2 linked regions of the Neurospora crassa OR74A genome follow. The protein of the gene in region 1 purifies or fractionates together with the protein of each later gene. This does not show direct contact. Links are inferred from orthologs where the notes say so. Each region holds a gene or a part of one and is shown in the gene's direction. Other genes may lie near its edges. The genes, in order: NCU06943 and NCU05782.

The links.
Region 2: the proteins of NCU06943 (region 1) and NCU05782 purify together in Saccharomyces cerevisiae (affinity purification with mass spectrometry; 3 studies listed by BioGRID). This does not show direct contact. The link is inferred for Neurospora crassa OR74A from reciprocal best matches to the Saccharomyces cerevisiae genes NOP56 and DBP3.

What each region holds. Positions count from the first base shown.
Region 1 is NC_026507.1:848,336-852,944, reverse strand, and holds NCU06943 (SIK1), read left to right. Parts: upstream 1-1,628; 5' UTR 1,629-2,203; coding exon 2,204-2,373; intron 2,374-2,558; coding exon 2,559-3,954; 3' UTR 3,955-4,366; downstream 4,367-4,609. UniProt on the Saccharomyces cerevisiae protein: Required for 60S ribosomal subunit synthesis.
Region 2 is NC_026507.1:3,805,408-3,809,731, forward strand, and holds NCU05782 (ATP-dependent RNA helicase dbp-3), read left to right. Parts: upstream 1-1,439; 5' UTR 1,440-1,585; coding exon 1,586-3,163; intron 3,164-3,223; coding exon 3,224-3,336; intron 3,337-3,403; coding exon 3,404-3,557; 3' UTR 3,558-3,710; coding exon of another isoform or gene 3,711-3,792; 3' UTR 3,793-3,863; downstream 3,864-4,324. Other genes in the region: NCU05781 (mitotic spindle checkpoint component MAD2), read left to right, coding at 29-427; NCU05783 (oligosaccharide translocation protein RFT1), read right to left, coding at 3,711-3,792, 3,923-4,324. UniProt on the Saccharomyces cerevisiae protein: ATP-dependent RNA helicase required for 60S ribosomal subunit synthesis. Involved in efficient pre-rRNA processing, predominantly at site A3, which is necessary for the normal formation of 25S and 5.8S rRNAs.

The sequences.
Region 1 (4,609 bases):
TACGTAAGGATGGGGTTATGTCGTACGGAGATGCCGCTGTATAGCGACGTAACCCGGAGGGCATAAGGCTGAATCAATGGGGACGGATAGACAGACACTGCAGAGTACCTCTTTGACAGTCTCTTGGCTTGGAAGGTCGGTGTAGATGGAAGCTCATCGCAGCTGCGCACTGTTCAGGCCTCGACTGGGGCATCCAATGGCGTCTAGGAGATGGTGGAGGGTAGTATCAGCGCTGTTCCTTGTGCATGTCGAGTACCGATTTGATATATTGGTCAGATAGGTCGGGTACATATTCTCGTTCACAGCTCCACGACACGTTTGCTTGGTTGATGTTGATGCCCCTAATTCGAAAGCCACGGATCTCGCGCTTCGAGCTACATGAGCTACGTATGAGCGTGAGGCAAGCTGCTCGCCCGAAGAGCCATCATGATACAAACGACGGAAACAAATCACCACGCCAAATACCACCATGGACTTGGCATCACTTGAACTGTCGGAAGAGACTGGATCGACTGAGGTACTGTGTAGTATCGTGATGGTGTCGTCGACGCTGCGAGACCCAAAATGGAAATGATAGGTACACAGCGGCACCACATCCATGCAACGGGCCGGAATGGTGCGCCATCGAAACCCGTACGCTTCTGATGCGCTGAAGAACGGGAGCATTGGGGCAATTTGGGGGTGTCGTGCATGCTGTAGGGCTCTTCCGCCACTGTACATACTGTATCATCCCTCGAAGACCCGGAGTTGGTGTCGCTGATTGGATGTCCGGCTGGACGGAACCGTTTCACGACCAATCCCGCAGAAGCCAGAGAAGGCATTCCCAGATTGCGACGCCTGTGATCATCCAGACAACGGCCATTATAGGATGTGAAACCGATGATGAGCGACATGCTTTGAACACAATGGAATAATCAAAGCATCCCAAGTCTTGTCTTGTTGTTGTTGTTGTTGTTTCTGCCACGCCCTGACGAGAACATCAACGTCGTAGTAGACGATGCGTTGAATGTCCTGAGACCGGGCAGTCGATAATGCTGGCCTGAGTCATCGGGCGGTCCGGTCACTTCAGTTGGTAATCCCTTCATGGACGCCGGGTCTTGCTTGGGAATGCGAAGCGGTCGACACTTGTGACAACCCAAGTCCGAGGTGGGCATGTTGACATGAGGTGGCAGAGGGGAGCCCGAAAGAGAGAACTGAAGTACACCAGTTTGTGAGGCGAGAAGCGAGAGAACCCGTGACCAACGCCTTCACATTTCTCGATCTGACTGCATATCGTGTCTCGTGTGAGCAGACATGACGCCAACAAACAACATGGGATGGCATGTGTCTCGGTCGACGACAAAGGAGTATGTGTTTGCATATTGGCACGAAAACGACCGAATAAGTAAGGGGATTGTGGCATTGCCGCAATGGAAAGAAGAACAAGGATTCATCATGAATCATCCGTCTCGCTGCTTTCCGAATGGAAATGGAAAACCGTAAAAGGATCGATGAAGGACGGACTGTTACCGACACCGCCAAACAGTCCAAGCCTCAATCTCTCCCATTGTGCAGGTCAGACATGCAGATCGAGCCCATAGGGCTGATGTGAGTGAGGGAACTCGACCATTGGCCAAATGATATGCGATCTGGTTGAGTTCGATGCAAAGAGTCAGTCAGGTGTGGTGAGTGGGTGTGGGTGAATGGGGCAGCAAAATGTCCCGTGTCAGTGTGGGAGGTAGGACGACGACGAGGACCCGACTGTCAGACAGACAAGAGGCCAGGCACACGGACAGCTGTCGCTCAGCTGGCAAGACTCTTCTTATCCGAATTCTTATCGACACGAAAATCCAAAGGAGTTTCGCACAATTGCTGCTGCCATTGGTTGCTAAGCCTTCCCAGCTTACAGCGCTCCAACGGGCCAATGGGGTGGCCAATGCGGCGTGAATTGGGGTAGGCAGAATCCCCACCCCGCATGGCTGTGGCCCGTGCTTCGTCCTGAGCTTGCCGCAAAAATTTCGAAAAAACTTGTCCAGGGCAAAAGTGGCAGAGCAAAAAAATATCCAAACACAGCGCCGTTCTGATTCCCGGAGACCGAAGACTGAGTTCATGCACCGGTGGCATTGAACGACGCCCAATTGCGCACAACACTCCAATCCCAGCGCACCCGGTTACCCAGTCACCCATCAATCCAGAGTCATCATACGACAACATCACCGCTAAGATGGCCAACGTCAACTATCTTCTGTTCGAAAGCGCGGTCGGCTTCTCGCTCTTCGAGGTCGTCCACCAGGCCGACACTGTCGGCTTGGAGCTGCCCGAGGTCAAGGATGCCATGAAGGATCTCGACAAGTTCGGCAAGATGGTGAAGCTCCGCAGCTTCAACCCTTGGAAGTAGGTGGCCAGAAGCAAAAGCATTGTGTGGTTTTGGAGTTGGTGTTTCGGGTTGAGGTGGTTGTGGTGATTTCATGGTCATGTGGTGGTGGTGGTGGTGGTGGTGATGATGTTGGGAGGGACAGAAACATTGTGTGAATTGCTTGTCTTGGCTGAACCATAAACTAACGTTCCTTAACCTCCAGCTCTGCCGCCCACGGTCTCGAGGCCATCAACCTCATCTCCGAGGGTATCATGCCCGACCACCTCAAGAACACCCTCGAACTCAACCTCCCCCAGACCAGCGGAAAGAAGAGCAAGATCGTCCTCGGTGTCGTCGACAAGAGGCTCGCTGGTGAAATTAGCGGAAACTTCCCCGGTATTCAGTGCGAGGCTGCCGATACCTCCGAGGTCGTCGCTGCCCTCCTTCGCGGCATCCGCACCCACGCCGGCAAGCTCCTCAAGGGCCTCCAGGACGGTGACATCAACCGCGCCCAGCTCGGTCTCGGTCACGCCTACTCCCGCGCCAAGGTCAAGTTCTCCGTCCACAAGAACGACAACCACATCATCCAGGGTATCGCGACCCTCGATGCCCTCGACAAGGGTATCAACTCCGGCGCCATGCGCGTGAGGGAGTGGTACGGCTGGCACTTCCCTGAGCTTATTCGCATCGTCTCCGACAACGGCACCTACGCCAAGGTCGTTCTCGCTGTCGGCAACAAGAAGTCTCTCAGCGACGAGTCCCTCGACGAGCTCGCCAACGTCCTTAACCAGGACGAGGACAAGGCCAAGGCCATCATCCAGGCCGCCAAGGTCTCCATGGGTCAGGACATCAGCGATATGGATCTCAACATGGTCAAGGACCTCGCGGACAACGTCTCCAAGATGGCCGACTACCGCCGCATCCTCGCCGAGTCGCTCGACAAGAAGATGGGCGAGGTCGCTCCTAACCTGCAGGTCATCCTCGGCACCCCCGTTGCCGCCCGCCTCATCTCGCACGCCGGCTCCCTCACCAACCTCGCCAAGTACCCCGCTTCTACCCTCCAGATCCTCGGTGCCGAGAAGGCCCTCTTCCGCGCTCTCAAGACCAAGGGCGCCACCCCCAAGTACGGTCTCCTCTACCAGAGCACCTTCATTGGCCGCGCCGGTCCCAAGGTCAAGGGTCGCATCTCCCGCTACCTCGCCAACAAGTGCTCCATTGCCTCCCGTATCGACAACTTCTCTGAGAACCCCACTAAGCGCTTTGGTGAGGTTATGCGTGAGCAGCTTGAGCAGCGTCTGGAGTGGTACGCCAAGGGCATCAAGCCCATGAAGAACACCGAGGCCATGGACAAGGCCATCAAGCTCGTCATGGACGACGAGGGTGACATGGACATTGACACCGAGATGGTCGACTCGCACACCGCCACCCACGCCGCCGACTCCAAGAAGGACAAGAAGGAGAAGAAGGACAAGAAGAAGGACAAGGAGGAGAAGAAGGAGAAGAAGGACAAGAAGGACAAGAAGAGGAAAGCGACTAGCGAAGACGTCGAGATGGTAGACGCCCCCGACGCTGCGGAACCCGAGAAGAAGAAGAAGAAGAAGAAGTCGAAGTCTGAGTAAAAAGACCGAAAGAAAAAGAGCCAAAAAGCAGCGTCACCACTTGTGTCTTTTTCACGATTTTTACTTTTTTTCTTCGTCATCTTGTTTAGAGCTTCTCGTCGCGTTTTTTGGCACGTCGTTCTTGTTGGTTCGCTCTGTTGTCGTTGTTATCCTCGGGAGTTTCTTATAATGTATGGGGTATGGGTCAAATCTGGTACAAAGGAGTTTTACGGGTCTACTTGTTTCTTGCAAGAATCATAAATAGTTCGTCGTTGTCGTCATTCACATCTCTTGCCATCTACGACTGATCATAGAGGGGTAGCGCAAAAAAGTTGAAAAGGATGTGCGTGTGTACTAGCATCATACCCATGGAGCATCATATGGCGGCGATATGGGTAAAAACAAAGGCTCATTAAACGAAACGGAACGTACGTCTAAAAGTACCTGGTTGATGTGAAGTGTCATGAATCTATGTACTCTTCCAATATCGCATGATTGCAAAACGCCCATCGACACTCCATCTTCCCCTGATTTTCTCGCTAGAATAATATCGTCATCATCAAGTCTTCGTAGTAAACATGTGCCTTGCCGCATGCAATGTGCTGCCAAGATAGAAAAAGGGGCTTGCAAGACTCTTAACCCCAAAGTAAAAAGTACCTAAAACATCCAGATACCC
Region 2 (4,324 bases), about 3.0 Mb from region 1:
CGACTCCAAGCTAATCCGTGGTCTATAGGTCCAAATATTCTCCAAAGCCGCCCAATCCAAGACCAAATCCCAACCCGCTTCCGCTACCACCGACGACAACCAAAATCAATCTCCTAACGAAAACGCAGCCGCCTCCACCGCCGCCTCAACTCCCACACCTCCACTCGACAAGACCGAAGCCGAGATCCAAGCCGAGATCGCCGCCATCTTCCGCCAGATCACCGCCTCCGTCACCTTCCTGCCCCAGCTCAGTGGCGACTGCACCTTCAACGTGCTGGTCTACGCCGACGCCGACAGCGACGTGCCAGTCGAGTGGGGCGACAGCGACGCCAAGGAGATTGTCAACGGCGAGCGCGTACAGCTAAGGGGGTTTAGCACGACAAACCATCGGGTCGACACGTTGGTTAGTTATCGCCTGGCGGATTAAAACGAGTTTGACTAGCTGAGTAGGGACCGTAACGAATAATGTGTATTTTGGCGTTTTGAACTTGGGGTGGGATATGGATGGATGGGTAGGTATTTGCACATATGGCTTTTACATATGGATTGGCATTTTGCTGGCATGGGAGTTTTTGCGGAAAGGCGTTGGAGGGAAGCCGGGTACGATATCAGGGATTAATTTACTGCTGTTCACTTCATTTTTTACAACCCCCTCTGGTGTCTATCGAGGGTTCTTGAATGTCTTGAGATGTTGTACACCACGTCATCATACTCTAGGTACATACGATCAAGCTATCATAATGGTAAGATCAGCGTTAGTCTATTCCACATTATCTCTACCATTACTCATTATAAAAGTAATTACCTATATATTCTTAGTGAGGTCCGCTGGTCCTGAAACTCGTTTTTCGACACCAAACTAGTCTTGTTTTCTAGAGCTGGGCAACAGCAGCAAGGACGAGAGGGTTTGCATTTCTGTTTCGCAATGGGATGGGATGGGCTTGGGATGAGCGGTAAAAACACTGATACCTGGATCTGGACCTGATCTATAGGGAAAGGGTTCGAGCAGTGCGGAGGGCATCTCGAAATGAGTGCCTTGGTGCTTAACGTAGAGGTATCTTGGAGCTCAAGCATACTCTCTTTCAACCCTAACCCCCTGTATCGCGAGGTAATTACGACTCGGGGCTGACATCAAACCATGAAATTACCAAGACCCACTTTGAATCTTCAATACACTACCAGCACGCAACGCCCAGAGGAACCCAGACCGATTAGAATTCCCAAACTCAATGCACATAAGCAAGCATGGCGGTATCTCATATTCTTGGAAAACCAGGAGAAAGAAACAATGCTTCTTGCATCATGTCCTGCTGTTCCTGAATCTCTCACAAGGGACCCCGATGGAAAAAGTGGACCCGCGGGGATCAGACAGGGCCGGGGTCAGTGACAGGGCTTATCGATAAGGAAATTTTCCCAGCCGGCGCAGGTCTGGCGATAACAGAGCGGCACCCTTTTGGCCTCCTTCGCGACCCTTCCCTTCCCTTGAACCCTTCTCTCTTTAGCGAGTGTTGTGTTTCCGACAGTCGCCCATCCATCACCTTTCGCCAATCGCTTTCTGTGCGAGTGCGATCTCAATTCTACCACCATGTCTTCCACCAAGAAGCACTCCCGGAGCGAGGGCGAGGAGAAGGATGCCCGTCTCGCCAAGAAGGTCAAGACCGACGAGACCCCCGTCGACGGCGAGGTGAAGAAGGAGAGGAAGAAGGACAAGAAGGAAAAGAAAGACAAGAAGGAGAAGAAGGATAAGAAGTCCAAGAAGGAAAAGAAGGACCAGGACGAATCACCAGCCACCGAGTCCACCGAGGATGTCTCCATGCCCGATGCCGCCGCCGAGCCCGTAGCCGACAAGAAGGAAAAGAAGGAAAAGAAGGACAAGAAGGAGAAAAAGGATAAGAAGGAGAAGAAGGCCAAGAAGTCTGACGAGTCCACGACCGAGGAGTCAACCAGCGCTTCCAAGGCCACCACCAACGGCACCACCACTCCCGCCGCCTCTACCAACGGCGCCTACACCTACAAGCAGGCCGATGCCCTCAGCGCTCTCCCCGAGTCCGAGATCGAGACCTTCCTTAAGGAGAAGGAGATTGTCATCAAGGATCCTTCCTCCAGCAACCTCCGCCCCATCATGAACTTCTCCCAGCTCCCTCAGTCCAACCTCATCTCCAAGAACCCCTTCGCAGCCTACACGAACCCGACCCCCATCCAGTCCGCTTCCTGGCCCTTCTCGCTCTCCGGCCGCGATGTCATTGGTATCGCCGAGACCGGTTCCGGCAAGACCATGGCCTTCTCCCTGCCCTGCGTCGAGTCGCTGGCCTCGCGCCCCAAGCCCAAGTTCAACAGCCGCGACCGCACCGCCCACCCCCGCGCCGTCATCGTCTCGCCCACCCGCGAACTCGCCATGCAGACCCACGCCGCCCTTTCCGGCCTCGCCTCCCTGGTCGGTCTGTCGGCCGTGTGCATCTTTGGTGGCTCCGACAAGAACGAGCAGCGCAACCTCCTCTACAAGAACAACGGTGTCGACATCATCACCGCCACCCCCGGCCGTCTCAAGGATTTCTTGTCCGAGGGCTCCATCTCGCTGGCCAACGTCAGCTTCGCCGTGCTCGACGAGGCCGACCGCATGCTCGACCGCGGTTTCTCCGAGGACATCAAGCTCATCCTGAGCGGCTGCCCGCCCAAGGAGCAGCGCCAGACGCTCATGTTCACGGCCACTTGGCCCCTGGACATCCAGAAGCTCGCCGAGAGCTACATGATCAACCCCGCCCAGGTCACCATCGGCCACAGGACACGTGCCGGTGGCGATGGTGAGGGTAACGGAAACATCGAGCTGCAGGCCAACAGCCGTATCGAGCAGAAGGTTGAGGTTGTCGACCCCCGCGGCAAGGAGTTCAGGTTGTACGAGCTCCTTAAGGAGGCTCAGAAGGGCAGCCAGAAGGACGACAGGATATTGGTTTTCTGCCTGTACAAGAAGGAGGCCGTTCGCGTTGAGCAGTTCCTTTCTCGCAAGGGCATCAAGGTGGCTAGCATTCACGGTGACTTGAGGCAGGATCAGCGCACGCGCAGTTTGGAGGCGTTCAAGTCTGGTACTACCACCGTCTTGGTCGCTACTGATGTTGCTGCCCGTGGTCTGGATATCCCCGAGGTCAAGCTCGTCATCAACGTTACTGTGAGTTCAACCGCACACATCTTACTTATCGTCAATGGCCAAGTGCTAACAGATTCCCAGTTCCCCTTGACCATCGAGGACTACGTCCACCGTATCGGTCGTACTGGCCGTGCCGGTAAGCTGGGCAAGGCCATTACTCTCTTTACCGAGCACGACAAGGCCCACTCCGGATCGTGAGTTTCTATTCTTTCTTTCTGCCTCTAATATTTCCCCATGCTAACCACAAGTTTTCTTTTCCAGCCTCGTCAACATTCTCAGAGCCGCAAAGCAGCCCGTGCCCGAGGAGCTCCTCAAGTTCGGCACCACCGTTAAGAAGAAGGCCCACGACGCTTATGGCTCTTTCTACAAGGACATTGACCCGAACAAGAAGGCGACCAAGATCACGTTCGATTAAAGGAGAGAGGATGAAGATGATGTAGATACCACCACCATGCCACATGTTGTGTAAACATTGGAGCCATTTCAGTTATTCTTTCGGGACAAAAATTTCATTGGGCGTCTTTTTTTTTCGATCTCTGTCCGGTCTATCTCATGATCTAGTGTTTTCTCAGGACTTTTGTTGTTGTTGTTGTCTCTTACCCTGAAGGGCGCGATACCCGCTCAACAAGAAGTCTCTTTCGGCGATGGCCCTGTCGTTTGTCGTCGTGTTAGCTTTCTATATATATCCAAAATAGATGAATGACAAATGATCGAATCGAACTAACGGATGTGAACTTTCACGAAACTAAAAGGAAACGGAAAAGAAAAGGGAATACTCACACAGCAACAACAAAAGGCACCGCCACCCCTGCAATCTTGAACAACTCCCAAACCGCCTCTTTGGCACCCATCACCACCTCCTCTTGACTGGCTCCCACAACCCGTCCAACAACACTCCTAGCCACAACCGCAGCCGCCACCGCTCCCGGCTTAGGCAAGACGTCCAACACGCCGAACCTGACTTTTTCTTTTTCTTTTTCTTTCTCATCCTCTTCCCCGTCCTTCTTCCCCCCTTTCTCTCCCACCTTCCCATCCCCAGTCCCACTTCTTTCAGCAAACCACCGCCCAACAAACCCCCAACACCACACAATCCGACACGCCATATTCACCGCATTCGCCACCACCAGGCCCCTCGCGCCCATCCCCCACACCTTGAGCGTCAAGTACCCCGTGCCCGCAAAG